Lytechinus pictus: one gene and its partner. The protein of the gene in region 1 purifies or fractionates together with the protein of each later gene. This does not show direct contact. Links are inferred from orthologs where the notes say so. Each region holds a gene or a part of one and is shown on either strand. Other genes may lie near its edges.

Evidence for each region. The genes of interacting proteins can lie anywhere in the genome.
Region 2: the proteins of cysteine-rich protein 2-binding protein-like (region 1) and transcriptional adapter 2-alpha-like purify together in Drosophila melanogaster (affinity purification with mass spectrometry; 3 studies listed by BioGRID, with this or other methods). This does not show direct contact. The link is inferred for Lytechinus pictus from reciprocal best matches to the Drosophila melanogaster genes Atac2 and Ada2a.

Annotation. Positions count from the first base shown.
Region 1 is NC_087247.1:43,280,749-43,288,830, forward strand, and holds the start of cysteine-rich protein 2-binding protein-like, read left to right. Parts: upstream 1-5,024; 5' UTR 5,025-5,384; coding exon 5,385-5,417; intron 5,418-7,243; coding exon 7,244-7,535; intron 7,536-7,725; coding exon 7,726-7,840; intron 7,841-8,082.
Region 2 is NC_087246.1:15,005,355-15,013,396, forward strand, and holds the start of transcriptional adapter 2-alpha-like, read right to left. Parts: upstream 3,036-8,042; 5' UTR 2,894-3,035; exon of another isoform or gene 2,373-2,893; intron 1-2,372. Other genes in the region: leydig cell tumor 10 kDa protein homolog, read left to right, coding at 3,096-3,198, 6,868-6,923, 7,818-7,952. UniProt on the Drosophila melanogaster protein: Component of the histone acetyltransferase (HAT) complex ATAC; predominantly involved in acetylation of histone H4, including at Lys-6 (H4K5ac) and Lys-13 (H4K12ac).

The DNA of each region.
Region 1 (8,082 bases):
GTGATATTAAGTTTTTATTTCTTGCCCCTTTTCTTTGTTTTCCAATTTAGCTTTTGACTAATTCCATTCTACCTTCATTTCCCGCTATTGTTTGCCATTTTGTCATCTTTTAATTTATTTCCCATCATGCTATTGCACTACATAGTCCTATTTCGGAATGATTTGTTCTTTCTCAAATGTTCTTCTTTCGTTCTTCTTCCCGCTTTCTTTCCTTTTCCATTTCAAAAGATATATATTTTCTTTGTTTTAAATTATTTTCACTTTTCCCATTCCTTTTCCTCCTTTCCTTTCCCTCTTTCCTTCCCCTTTCTCTTTCTTTCTACCTCCCTTTTATGTTTTCCCCGTTTTTTTTTATTTTCCCGGTGAAATCCGCCAGGGGGGCAGCTTGCCCCCCCCCCCCCGCCTGTTACGCCACTGTTTAAAGAATGTGTTTAGAATCAATTTTTATTAACGTTTTGGGAAAACAACCCCCCCTTTTCAAGATTATTTAGCTTAAATATTTTGAAAATATATTTTCATAACTTCTACAACCTTTAATGCTATCATCATTACGTTTTACCAATGTTTTAACTTGGTATTTTTCATCTCCAGTGTATTTATCGTAATTTTAGTAAAACATTTTGTTTCTGAAAATATGTGGGGGTATGATATGTCATAAAAACGTCAAAATAAGGACGTTTGTTGTACATTTCATTAACACTTTGTGAAAACATTTCAAAAATGTTTAGCTATTTTTTCAATAACATATTTTCATAATTTTTCGATGTTATTGTGACACCCAATGCATAGCGTTTTAAAGATATTAGAAAATAGTTGTTTCTAGAAAAATGTTTAAATGATATTTTAAAACATTATGTATAACATTATAAGAATGATGTTAGTAAAATGTATTTTTTCTGAAATAATGTTATATCATAAAAGCGTATATATTAAAGAATATTTATCCTTCTTTTTTAGTGTTTCATAACATTTCAAGAACGTTTTATGTTATTGCTGTAATATTATAACAACCTTTAAAAATATTTTTAGAGCCCATGTTTAACTTTATAAACATGATAGTAAAGTTTAAAAACAGTTGTATTCTAAAGACTCTAAAATAAGGATACATTTTGAAATATTTTTGGCATTTTTTTCAAAAATGTTTTGCTGAACTGTTATAAAAACATATTTTCATTACGTTTCTATTCAGGTTGATGTTATTGTCAGAATATTCTCACAATACTTAATTTTCATTTTTCTTCAAAATGGTTATAGTAAAATGTATTGTTAAGTTTTTGGAAAAAAATGTAAAAATCATAACATAATAACATTAAAAAATATTAAGAAAACATTTTTCAAAAACGTTTAGTTAAAATATAGAATTAACATAGTTTTCATAACCTTACAAGAACGTTTATGTTATTGCTAAAATGGTTATAACGTTTAATGAAATAATGTTTAACATAAGGGGAATAATTAATAACGTTTAATGAAATAATGTTTAACATAAGGGGAATAATTTGTTTCATTAATGCTATGCAAATGTTCTCAAGAAATGTTTTTTGAAAGCATTTCTAAGATCTTTCAAAAATGTTATTATAACGTTGTGTTAGCTGGGATTATAGAGATATACAGTGCGTATCAAAAAAAAGTTTACACTTTGAAAAAGCCCTGGGAATTAAAAAATATACAACATGTGGGTAATTTTTTCACATATAATCTTTGGTTTGGGTCTCTTCTATCCAATGAAAGTAAAAGTTTTGACAGAATGTTACACTTGAGTGAGCACTGTCCATTTTTGTAAAGCTCGCAGAAATCTGTTTGCGCAGAAATGCTCGTTTGTACGCTGTGTCGAGGGGAAAGGGCGAAATCAAACTTACCCTGCGAAACATTTCTCATACATTTCCCTTGCACTTTTAGTAAATTGAAATAAAACGGATACATTTCAGCATTTTCTAATAATTTTGCCACCCAAATTGAAATTTCAACACAACCTTTACCTTTTTTGTGCCAGCTGCATGGATCTGAGGACCAGTGGCGTAGCTACGGGGGGGCCTGGGGGGGCACGTGCCCCCCCCCCTGAGATTTGGTGTGCCCCCCCAAGTGCCCCCCCCCTGAAAAAAATTGGCAGAGCAAAAAAAAAAGGAGAAAGAAGAAAAAACAGGAAAAGAAGAAGAAAGACAGAAGAAAAAAAAGAAGAGGAAAATAAGAGGAGGAAGACGAGTGAATGAAATAATGTGAAGGGAAGACTTGCAAAAAAAAAACAAATCTTTCATGTTACTATATAAAACTTTTGCTTGCGCTTTTTTGCGCCAGAATTGCCTGTTCGATGAAATTCATATCTTGCTCAATAGGCTGATATGGAGCAAGTTTTGAAGTCAAAATACAAAATATATTTTAGCTCGGACATCGAGCTCTCATCAATTTTTTTTCATTAACAAATTTAAGTGTTCTAGCTGTAAAACGTCCCTTTTATAGTCTACATATCAGCATTTTTAAGCTCACGCTGCGTGGTCAAATTGTTTGATTTGCCAAGTTCCTATTGTCTACGTGTATTTCATAATGTTCCATTAAACAAATGTATTCAGACTGCCCAGATTCTAGGTCTAAATCGAAAACATGCGCGATAGCCTGCATGTTCTTTATATTAAATGTACTTAAATTATCCAGTTTCACATCAGAATATCAATAATTGTCTGCTCACGCTTCACGGTCGCATTATTAATGATACCCAATTAACTATATCCTATTTATGATTTACAAAATATGAATAGCCGCTTTTAGGTCTAAAATCTCAATTTTCTTCCTCTCGCGCTTCGCGCTCGCATCAATTGTTTAGTTACATACCTATCCCATTTATTAATACAAAAAGTGCTTAGAATGACAATTTTTTAGGTCGGAATGTCAAAAAATATTTGCTCGCGCTTCGCGCTCGCATTATTGAAATATATACCGTCTTCGTGGGTAACTGTAAGCAGTCCTTAACAGGTCCCTTTTCGATAATGCTAGAACAGTTAATAAAAAGTTCTGCTCGCGCTTGGCCTTCGCAGTAACCATCTAGTTACATACGAATCTTGTTCAGGATCACACATAACATTGCACAGAATATTACATTTTCAGGACAAAATACATGAAAGTAAAAAAAAAAAAATCGCTCGCGCTTCGCGCTCGCACTTTTTATAAGGCTTATGAGATTATTTCATGTTTATGTTGTTCTATAAGAATAAATCTAAGAAGTGACTGATCGGGGGAAATATAGGTGAAGATAATTTCGGGCCCCGTCCCCTATTGGCGAAAGTCGGATCCGCCCTTGTGACACATACACACACAACGGAAAAAATGGTGCCCCCCCTGAAAAAGCAAGGACCCCCCAGTGCCCCCCCCAGGAAAAAAATCCTAGCTACGCCACTGCTGAGGACATAACTGAATCTGAACAAAAGTTTATATCAGACAGTTTTTATCATTTAAAGTGGGTTTACATTTCATTTTTCATTTAATACTTGTTTGTCCACACTTTTCCCAAGCTTGACAATGATTAACAAAATGAAAATCAAGCCTAAGCCATTTTATGTAAATCACAGCTCAGTGTAAAGCAAATTCGTCACGATGGCCTCGGTGTGTGGGGGAGTGGGGTGGGGTGCAATGCACTCCTCGAAGTGGTTTGGGCAAGGAAACAAGTTAAAAAAGGTAAAAGATATCTTCAAATCAATTTTACTAGCTAAATTCCACGTGTTCTTCATGATTAAGGTCAACTTTTATTCGCATATATACCTATTTCAAAGTTCTGCGCAAATCATTTTTCACTAACTTTTCAAAAGTAAGTGGTGCTCACTCAAGCGGAAATATTTTTCGACAGTTATATCATCATTTGCTTAAATGGGGTTAAATGGATCTGTACCAATGTTAAAATGTGGAAAAATCTTCAGGATATTACAAATGTGTAATTTTACAGGATTTTTTCGAAGTGTAAACTTTTTTTGATACGCACTGTATAACAACGCAAAATAGCTATCCGCTACTATCAGAAATGCAGCAATATTGCGTGTCATCAATTTGAGTTGAGAGAGAGCCTATTATACTTCGGCCCAGTGGCGTACCTAGGATTTTTCACAGGGGGGGGGGCAAAACCGTCCACCAAAAAATTTGACAAGCAAAAAAAAAAAAAAAAAAAAAAAAAAAAAAAAAGGTCTTTTCGATCACAAATTAAGGATTTCGTACCAGAAAAAAATTGACAAGCAAAAAAAAAAAAAAAAAAAAAAAAGGTCTTCAAGCTCGTCAGGGGGGCATTGAAGGTCTTAAAGCTCGCCGGGGGGGGGGGGCAAAAAAGGTTTTTCAAGCCCGTCAGGGGGGGCAAAGATACGTTTTTGCATGGGTTGTGACTCGTCAGGGGGGGCAGAGTGCCCCCCCTGCCCCCCCCCCCGTAGGTACGCTAGTGCTTCGGCCTATCTAAGTTCATGCCCGACGCATAAGCCCTTTTATATACTTGCTGGCAATAAATACACACTATACTCTAATAGTAGAGGCAGGGAAATCGGGGGGGGGGGGGGAGACTACCGGGTTAGCGCAAGGGCATCGGACGCGATTTCCCCGGCCCGGCCCGCTAAAAGGGAAGAAAATTTACATATGAAAGAGAGAGACGACGTCTCGTTTTGGTTTTGATTCTTCTCAGAAAAATATAAACCGGAAACCCACAAAGCTACCCTTTTCCCCTTTTCTTCTCTTTTCCTTTTTTTTATTTTATTTAAGCCCTTTTATATACTTGCTGGCAATAAATACACACTATACTCTAATAGTAGAGGCAGGGAAATCGGGGGGGGGGGGGGGGAGACTACCGGGTTAGCGCAAGGGCATCGGACGCGATTTCCCCGGCCCGGCCCGCTAAAAGGGAAGAAAATTTACATATGAAAGAGAGAGACGACGTCTCGTTTTGGTTTTGATTCTTCTCAGAAAAATATAAACCGGAAACCCACAAAGCTACCCTTTTCCCCTTTTCTTCTCTTTTCCTTTTTTTTATTTTGGGGCGCCTCCCCCCCCCCCCCTCCCCCCATACACCCCTGCATGCAGATATGCATTCAAGAGTCTTTTGTTAAAATTTAGGTCTTGCTGTCTGACATGTCCAACACGGGGTCCAACCACTAACAATAATAATATTGATGAAAATCTATACTAGCCAACATTTTTCTAAATCTTACTTGTATTAAACTTCCAATTTTATTTGGGATTTTTTTTTCTTATATAGGAATTACTAATTAGGATCTAACTTTACAGCTGGCCGAACGGCGGCAGCGCATACCGCGGCGGCGCGGGCGGGCAGCGCAGCGGTCCAATCTGCCACCAGTACAGTACAGTAGTTACCACTGATCTGACAGCTGACCGATCGACCTGAAATAAAATTTGAACAAGCGATGTCAGGTGTAACTTCAAGTGAAGCTGATCAGGTAGTAATGATATTCATGAAGTTGTTAGGAGTGGGGGCTACGGGTCAGGAAATCAAAATTTAAATGAATGTAGACTAGTCTGATCGTATTTTATCATGCTTATAATTTTCAACACCAAGCAACAGCCAACAGGAACATGAATTGCAATATGTGGGACTGGACTTGGCATTGACTCTTAGTCTTAAGTTGAGCCTGAGGACTCCATGATGATATTTTTTAATATTTTGACATAGATCTAAACTTCTTCATCATTCATGGAGCCCTGAACCGTCTCCCATATATGCATATATGCATAAGTGAGACCTGGATAGATTTCCCTACTGCCCTATATTTTAGCCTATAAATAATGCTATATTTTAATATAATACACTATACAGGGTGAAATCGGTTTATAATTAATAAGTGAATTTTATTGAAACCTTCAAACGCCTAAAATTTAGATTTTTTATGAAGGTATAAAAATTATTTCACTATGAATGGCAAAAATGAGAGGTTTCTTACCAGAATGATCTCGTGTAGATCCCTCAATCCATTTGCCAACAAAGCAAATACAATAGGTCTGACCCTTGAACCGCTTCGTTATGCCATACCTTCGATTAGCGATGTTCCAAAATGCTGTTTTGAAGAACAATTTATAGATAAAAATTATTATTTAACAAATACTAAAATTTATTACGTGATTATGAATTTTTTTTCTTTAATTCCCTTCTTTTTCTATCTTGGTTGTAGAACATTCGGGGGCCACTGGGCCTAACCCTTCCATCCTGTACCCCAGTGCTAAACTGCTATATCAGCAGGTGGGTCTCGATACCTCTGGATATTTAGCCATTTTAAACCTCATAGATGGCTGCTATTGTTAATCAAATTGTGAGTGTAGACCTAATTATAGAAGAACATTTCGTTAAGGTTTTTATTCTTTTGACAAAAAAAACCAAGAAGGAAAAACAAATCAGTTCTACACCCTCCCTTTTTTCATTTTCCTTTTTCTCTTTTCGCCCCCCTACTTTTTTTTTTGGGGGGGGGGGCACCACCCCCTGGCTAGTACGCGCCTGCCAGATGAAGAGGCGAGCGAGCAAAAATTTTGTCATTACAAATATAAATTTTTTGATAGATTTTGACATAACATTCGGGATGATTGTCGCAATGGTCATTTTGTCTCGCTTAAAATTTGACAAGTAAAAAAAAAGATTGTCACTCAAAATGAAAGCCATTTTGTCTGCGTAATATTTGGCAACCCCCCCCCCCAAAGGTTATTAAAAAAAAGGAAGGTCATTTTGTCCTGCGTGAAATTTTATTTGGCCAGCCCCCCCCCCCAACGGTTTTAACTAAAAATGATCGAAGGGCATTTTGTTTCTAGTAAAATTCGTCATATAAAAGTTAACTATATTCTTCATCATCAATCTCTTCTTCAAAATCATAAATTTTGAAATTTAAATCTAGATGAACTTCTGGGTTTCTTCCATTTCGTGATCGATGTTTTCAGTAACTTTGTGGAGAAAACATACCCTCCCTACAGGTTTTGGATGCAAGTGGAGCTTGATGTGGGATAACCAATCGTGTTTCGCACCAGCATACACGTCATTAAAAATCACCAATTTTGAGGCCGTTATTTACGTGTTCGAAGCACTCAGAGAGGGAACTTTAAAACTATCAATTAACTGAATTTCATCTGTCTCCATGATAAATGAGGGACACCACTATGTTCTTTGATTTTCTGCTTTGATTTGATATATAATTCTCCATTTTGGGGATTGGCAATATATTTCTACTTTATAAAGATTTCAAAATTGAAGTGAATAAACATATTTTCTATCATCCTTGTGCAGGGGGAAAATGATGAAATTGATGTGGTTTCCATGGATACGAAATCCCCAGGAGTTAATAGGGAGGAAGCTAAGTCACAGGATGAAGACATTATCATGGAGACAGTGGATGACCATGATGCAGAAGATGAAGAAGAAGAGTCCTCTAATGTGACCATCATCCACGAGGAGGAAGAAATGAGGGAAAATGTAGATGTAACAGAGGACGAGTCCTTGGGGGATCAGTGTTACTGTGAAGGCAAAGGGGATGGTCCGATGATCTCCTGTGAAAAATGCAAGAAGTCTTTTCATTTAGGTAGGTCAATGAGGAAGTTTTAAATTCTAATTGTTTGATTATTTGTATTTTCATGACACAGACATACTGAACAACATCTTCAATTTTATTTTATTATGGAAAGGAACACAATTTTGTGTCTGGCCTTTTGAAGAGCATAATACATAATACTGAGATTTATTTCTGTCATGTGTGTTATTGTTTTTCATAGCTTGCTTCAAAACTGGCAATCCTACAACTCTAGAAGGGGACATTTTCTTCAAACTGAATTGCAGTACATGTAAGGCGCCTGAAGATGAGACAGTGGAAAGAATGAGATTGACTTGGTAATTTTAATAAGAGTGCTAACAGGATAATAATATGATTTTCTAGTTTTATTGATGATATTTCATTTTCTTGAATTCCATATCTGATGCTAACATGAATACTGTACTTGCAATCTGAGATATAGGCCTAATGCGTGTACTTGTTATCAAGTGGAAATGAGACTAGATAAAGATCAAATCTAAAACAATCAACATGAAATTGAAACTATTCTGGTTTGTCTTCCTAATTTTTGTTCTAGTAG
Region 2 (8,042 bases), on another chromosome or scaffold:
TGGGGCGCGGGCAGCGTGCATGCAGTTTACATACAATGCAGTTAACGTTATAAACCAATGTCAATGAGCTGCAATGTACGAGATTTTGCCATGCTTTCATAGTAGGCTACTTAATAACTACTACCCACTTGATCTATATTTCCACAAAATGAAACATATTGTGTAATTATGATGCCTATTCACCATTAATTTGAAGCTTATTTTTATCCTAGTTCGAGTCTCACTCTGAATGCTGAGATAATTCATGCACGATGAATTCATGAATGGAATTTATCGTTATCGATCGCGCATGCACATTGTGCTTTAATCAAACAAGATCGAAATTGATCTTAAAGGAAAATCATGATGCGACCAACGTAAAATAAATCTTGTTCTCATTAACAATATTTCTTATTATGACCATAGAACATTATTTAATCATAATATTTTGACAATAATTTGCAAATGATAATTAATAATATGAATTTAGGGCTTGATGTGAAACATTTGTATTTCGTTTCCATTTTTAATGACGGACATCACAAATTCCTGAACGAGTGATGGGTGCACTTTTCTAAAAAAAATTATATCATGTCAGGATTGATTTTCAAACATCAAACATCAAACTTGTGCAACGCTTAACCCGTCCCTCAGCACGGTCATGACGGAGCACAAAAATTGACTTGATTTTCCCGCCTTCAAATTTCAATGCATCGATGTTCAATCAAATTAAAGCTGTTTACAAAATAATCGATATGACTTACGCCCAACGGAAGTTATCATATTACCATGAAGCTATAAAACACAGAAGGAGATCCTTCTTCCAATTCCTCTGTTAATCCTTTGTTATCGCTCCCTTCTGGCGAAGGAACGATATCTAACATCAATCTGCGAGCCGCCAGGTGAAAGTAAGAGCCCGCTTACGTAACGCGATAAGCCCGCTCGTAAAATTTCAGGTCAGTGATTTTTTTAAGGTCCCTGCGAGGCACCACCGTAAACGACGTTCTTCCACATAACTTCCCTTCGAGCTCTGATTTTTTTTCAAAATCGAAACATGACTTGCTGGCCTTCCAACATTCATATCTCTTCGTACGGATTCCTGATACATCTTTGATGTAAGGTTGAACTTCTGAGATGATCCCCTTTGCACACACACCAAATACGTTGAAATCTAATTCAATCCAGCCATAGTACGAACGGAGAAAGTTGGATATTATTTATTTATGTTCGTCTGTTTTTCTTGCTTTATATTTTATAAACCTTTTCCTGTATGCTCCTGTCTTAGAAATTACAATGAGGGGAAAAAGCATTTCAAACTTGATTTCGATGCTAAGATTATTTGTTCGGTCATGTTCGCCTTGAAAATATAATGACGAATCTACGGGGCATTTCTACGGCGATTGTTGCATCGTCGAGTATCCTCCAGTGCCCCACATACTCCTATTTGTGTAAGTAGCAGCGCCACGTACGCACTCGTGGAAATCCACATAAACTCCAGGTTCCCTATGCAAGGACACGATTTCTTCAAACATCATTTTACCCAGAAGCTATCAGGCTGTGGAACTCATTACCGCCTGTCGCTGTCAACTGCACCTCATTGGTCATTGGAGCTTTTCAAGCTGAAGGTGCAGTGTGTCAAGCTTTGTTAAGCTTCAGTCCTGTTTTTTTTTGCTGCACCGTACACTCAGCACTTGACAAGCACAAGGTACGATAATACGCCAGTGACTGTTCCAGACTGGAAGAAGAAGAAGTTGAAGGTGAGTGTGATGCGGGAGCTCCATGCTCACACATTTACACAGTACAGGCCTCAGCTCCGGACCGTTCCGGAAAAAAATATTAGAATTGACGCATTTGAAGAGATAGATCTATACCTAACTTTTATGATATTTCGTTGATTATGATCTGTAAAATTTATTCATATTAATATTACCCATTGGCATTGGGTCCGAATATCAGCATTTTAAATTGCATTCGATCAACTTTCCCTCTCTGATTTACAAGCGGCCTGCGCCCGTAAGTGTGATGGTGCCGTGATGGACCACCCAGCTGTGAGGGGATTACCGGTGCCGCGCATAGGGCAAAATTGGACTTTCAATTAAAATGGGCCTATTTTTTACCGAACCATCGAACCAGGCCTTTGGCTTTGTGTTCGGTTCGAAAGTGCCAAGTTTGGCAAGCTTGGTTCAGATCGAAACCTTTAAATTTCATGCTCTCCATTAATGACATCCAGTGACGTAATACACTTATAATGAGCCCCCCAAAAAAAAAATTGTAGGGGGCTGCTGGGGCAGATATTTGGACCAAAAAGTTTTTTTTTATAGATTTTGATTAATATTCAGAGAATAGACAATAATAGTTTAGAAGACCTCCATTTCCCTTTCCTTTTCTCTCTTTCTATATTTTTTGGGACCTTGGCTTGCACTTGCCCTACTCAGACTCAGTTTCGCCCTCAGTTTGGTTGTGAATTTTTTTTGGGGGGGGCGGCCTTGCGCTTGCCCCCCCCCAAAAAAAAAAAAAATAGTTTGCTTGGTTTGTGTTAACTGTTATTGTAGGCTTTACCAGGAAAAATAGTTAGGCCAAAGCAACAGAAGCCGGGCCAACTGTTTGAGTTGGTTGGATGCTCTCTCCTTTTTAGTTTTACTGCTTCATTCATATTCATTCACCCGAAGTTATTAGTCTATTCCTATCACCTGTACGTAAGATTTTTTATACACGCAGGTAAAGGGTCTAAAGCACAATTATGTGACCGATCCGTTAAAATCGTACACGAGCTAAATCGCTCGCAACACATGCTGGTTGTAAATGTCAAGTTCATACTCGCATGAATTCACGTCACATACGGTACTTAGTCGAGAGAAAGACTTATTTATGTTAATCTTTATATCTTTTCAGTATGTATGGTAGTTATAATTACCTCTGATAATTATCTTTATTGCCTTTTACGTCCTTGCTCTGGCTTAGCTTAGCCTTAATCTTATCAATCATGTGTAAATCGAGTGAGTCCCTTCCCTTTCACCTTTCGACGTCACTCACCATGCTCACGTCGCTCCGTTTTCGAAAAAAAAACCAGACCGATTTTAGATTAAAATATAGAATATTGAAGTGACAGTATCAGGATGGTTCAAGGAAAGATCAAAACAAAAGTGCAAGTCCCAGGAAAGGGTAGTCGAAATAAGCAAAAATATGCTCATCAGAAGAAGAAAGGGCCAAAGAGAGGAGGTAGGTAGATTTAGTTTCGAGAGGATCTACGGTATGCATTGCCCGACGCGTAAGAATTTGTGCTGGGTCAGTGTTTCCACAGGCACAGCTCCAAAATAAATTTCCCGAAATTGAATCCCAATTACCAAATTTCCTGAAATTCATAGATATTTCCTGGAATTTTCATGTTTGATTTCAACAAAAATCGGGCAATAAATGAATAATATAGCAAGCCTAAATTTGGTCCAGGTGGCCAAATCAAGGAATTCAGCATTTTTTTGTTCACGCCCTCTTTAAAGGACGTTCCACAGTAACATGTTTGTGCGCATTATGATCTGCGCATAGTTTACACTCTGCGCGCTGACGTCACAATGGGTGAACAGGTGATTAATTAGCTGCGGGTATGTGCTGATTTTTCTCATCTTCTGCACTTTAACTGCAGATCCGATGCGTTTTTTCATGAAGCTAAAAAATTGAATTATTCCATGGACCATTCAAAAAAAGATTCTCTACAATTTCAAAATACTTTACTCTGCAGTGCTGCCAAGAATCACAAATATTACCCCGAGTTTGAATAAATGGTAGAGTGGTTTTGATTTTTTTTTCACATAGATACAAAGCATTCGGCGCATATTTGGTGTTTTAAAAAGCACATTTGCTCTAATAAAAATACTGATAGTTTAAAAACAAGCACATGAACGTTAATGTTTGTTCCTCTTAAGTATACCTTCCTCTACAACTCTACAAATTTTGGTGAAAATGACATGGATTTTGAATAAAGTGCAGCATTTATTGTACTTTTGTAGTTTGTTACTGAAATTTCACATTTTTTAGATTGGGATTTTGTTATCTTTTACGCCATTTTTAAGAACTGACAGTGCTGTTAAACTTAAAATTGCAAACAAATAGCACTATGAATATATTCTCCGTTCTAATGATACAATTATTAACTCTCTTGCGAAATTTGATGACTTTTTCATGTATTTTGACTGAGTAATACAGGTTTAAACTCATTGTAGTAATCTTGGGCGGTCTAAAAATGCCAAATTCTTTTGAATGCGCAATTCTTAAGAACATCAATTTGGGTGAACTTTGAACTTCTATAGCAAAAAATCAAGCACATGGACCTATGTTAATTTTTGCATATTTCGAACATTAAGGTTCTAAAGTATCTATGTGCAAAGTTTCGTGAAAATGACATGGATTTCACTTTAACTGTGGAACGTCCTTAAATAGGTATGATGGGGGCACTCAGCCACTCACACTAACTTTGTTAGTAGTAAAGATAAAAGATATGCCAATTTTAGTATTTGAACAAATTACCTTTCACCAATTTGTGGCAAACTTAACATTCTAAAGATCATTAACCAAGAAGAAAATATCACAAACTACGAAAATCCCGCCGTGTTTTCCAACACCTCTTGATTTCGCCGCCTAATGTTAAATGTAGAGAAGGGGTCCTAAAGCTACGCACTTGATTTATCATGCAAAAAAATAGTATTTCTAAAATATGTTCACAGTATTAGAGGATAAAATGAAATTAAAGCGAATATAATTTCAAAATTCCAAACAGTTGTTGGTTTTCTCTGCATTTAGAGATTTACATTTACAGTAGAAAAAATTGAATAAGAATCGTTTGTCACTCTGCAGTCACAGTTCCACACACAGAGTGCACATTTGCCATAAAAACTGCATGCGCGATGAGTGGTGTGTAGCTTTAGGACCCCCTACCATAAAGGGGTCTAGACTAGACCTATAGGAACAAAAATTACAAAATGTGACTTTGCGAGAGCGGAAAATTTTGAGCTACGTACCGTAAGGGCACTAGTATTCAACCCGTTTGGAGAGTTTCCTCAAATGTATAGAAATATGGAATTTACTATAATTTCAGACCTGTCTTATTTTCAAGAGCATGCTGGTTATTCTTTTTGCTTTTTTATATTTTTTTTCTTCAACTATCGACTGTGTGCGCGGGCGATTGAATTATACGGCGATGGTTTTTGGCACTAGTATTCAACCTAGCGATGAAAGATGGCCCTGTCTCTCAATCTGCCCTTGTCCCATCCGACTATGGACTAGACCATTTGAGATGAGACCAAACAGGGAATTAGTCAAAGCCAGAGACTTACATAGATCTAGATCTAGTTTAGCAATCTAAACCATTTTGAGATTCACTATCTATCATCACTAAGTTGAATACTAGTGCAATTCAGTGCAAAAGGTCATGGCCGCATAATTCGCTCCTCCGAGCATAGATTGATTAAGAAAATACTGACAACAGATTACCCTGAAAATAACAAAGGTATGAAATTAAGATAGTTCCCTTTTTCTAAATATTTGGGGGAATTTGTCCAAATCTTTGAAATATGCCGGGTTGAATACTAGTGCCCATAATAGTTGCTACGTTTAATTGTAAATTTTGAATTTCCCGAAATTTCCTGGAATTTTTTCATTTCCCGAACCTTTCCTGGAAAAAGTCAAAATTTTCCGAATTTCGGGAAGAGTGGAAACACTGTGCTGGGTCAATCTGATAATCATCCCTCACGTTGCGTTATTCGCGCAAAAATCAGTAACGCTATACACTACACTACATACAGGGCAACACTAGCCACTGCAATGCAGTTTGTATAGGGGGGGGGGGGTCACTTTATATTTTTGAAGCCTTTTTTGTCTTTGGATTACACTAAGATATGAATTCAATTTTGTTATCTATTTTTTTCTATATTTCCTTACATTTTGTACTCAAAGAATAAGATTTTTTTAAAGTACAGCTGGCAGCCATCTGTTTCGAGGAGTTTTTTAAAAATTTTTATTTTTCCTTGTACACAGACGGCTCATGATCATGCAGCCACCATTAGGGGGTTTACAATGCAAAATTCCCCCGACGGGGCTAATCGATTTTTGTCTTTATCTCATAAAAATATATAAAAAGAACTGGACCAAAATAAATCATTCTGTTTGGCCTGAAATGCACCAAAACAGGAAAAAATAAACTTAAAAGGAAAAAAAACAGTGACTTACTTTGGCTGTTGAGTGTCGCGCAACTCCCACTTCCCTGGTTTATCCGAACTTAATACATAAACATATGGCCATTGAGTCCCTGTACAGATCGAGTAAGAACTTTGGTCTCTGTATGAGTGGAGCCAACAGAACAACCAATATCATTAACCCACTCTCAAGGCTTCATGGATTACGATGAGAAAGGCTGCATATTGAGGCCTGTACGTGAATCCTGGTGAATTGTCATTGAAATTCATTAATCATGATCTGATTTTGTTTAAATTTTATCAATCTATGTATTGCAGCATGCAGATTTAAAGTTTATGGTTGTTATGTGTCTTCTTTGGTTAGAATCATGCGAAATCATTGGGCTAATCGCTCTGCATTTTTATCAAAACTCAACATGGTTTCAATTTTCTCACAGAGCAATTGGTCAAGACATTTGTTCTGTCATTTTTCTCTAAACATTAGATTGGATCATTGATTTTGATTTTTTTTTGTTTTTCACATAGAAAATACATATCTGGCAATTAAATACCACTTTCAAATTCAAGTCACTAAAATGGAATATATAAGTTGCAGTAATGTTTATAAATGTTTCTGAATTTCTTTGTCTAAATGTTTGGGAAAATGCTAATGTCATGGGGAAGAGAGATTTTACAACTCACTGTTTTTGTTATTTTATTTCAGCCAGATTCATCGCTCCTAAGAAAGCAAAGCAGATAGAAGCTGCTAAACTGAAGAAGGTGAGAAACTATTTTAGATCATCAGTAAGGAAATATAATGGAAAAAGGAAAATCAATATCTTTCAATTCAGATATTGACCTGTATATAAAAGTCATCTTTCTTGAGATTTCATGGAAAGTTGATTACTATTTGCTGAGAAGTGATAGACATACCTGTGATATCTGATCTGCTTTAGGGCTCTGCCAGTCACAGTGTACCATTGAAAGTCTGTGATTAATCACAGACTTTGCTTGATTTGGCCAAAATCGGAGCAGGTCCTCTGAGATAATGACTAAGCTTATGAGGCAAGGAGAATGTTACTTTATATTGGACAAAAGAATTCAATTTTACTCAGATTGAAGTAGAACAAACACATGTTGATGTCTAAAACTCTACAGATTTTAAATTTTACATTAAAACTGATGCTTGGGTAACTGTCTGTCTCTCTCGAGAATTAATTTCAAATGATATGAAGTTTAGCAATGATGTACAGATTACCAATCTAATTAAACAGACCATTGAGATCATTCATGATTGATTGACTTAAATGTAGGGTTTGCCTTATATAAGCAGAATAAATACAGGTTATTATGTCCAAGTCAAGTCTCCTAGAAACAAAGAAAACACTATACTTTTCTGGTTGCAGAATTGCTTTAATTTAGAATAGTATTTCCATTATTTTGTTTTATACATATTTAAGCATATTTAAAAATAACTATTGTTTCTTTGATGGAGATAGGGGAATGGATGGCATCTGATTCAGGGTGAGATGGGATGGTGATAAATTTTCATTAATATTTTATCAAGTGGATTTCTTTCACAAGTGAATGTATTAAACTGAACTGATAATCCTTTTACTGTTATTTTTTTACTAATGATACGATTGACATTTAACATCCTCTTTTCCCTTGCAGAATATCACAAAGGCAATCAGCTCTCGGAATGAGCAAGAAATCATTTCCCAGGCTGCCTCTAAAGAACCAAAGAAGCTTTTGGTAGCTGCACCTTCATCAGGGGGAGGTGATTCAAAGAAGAAAGGAAAAAAATGATCAAGGCATGAAACTTTTGAAGGATTGATGAATAACGATCGTGCATCAAGGACTCTGGGGGAAACTAGAGAGCAGAGAACAGCATAATTG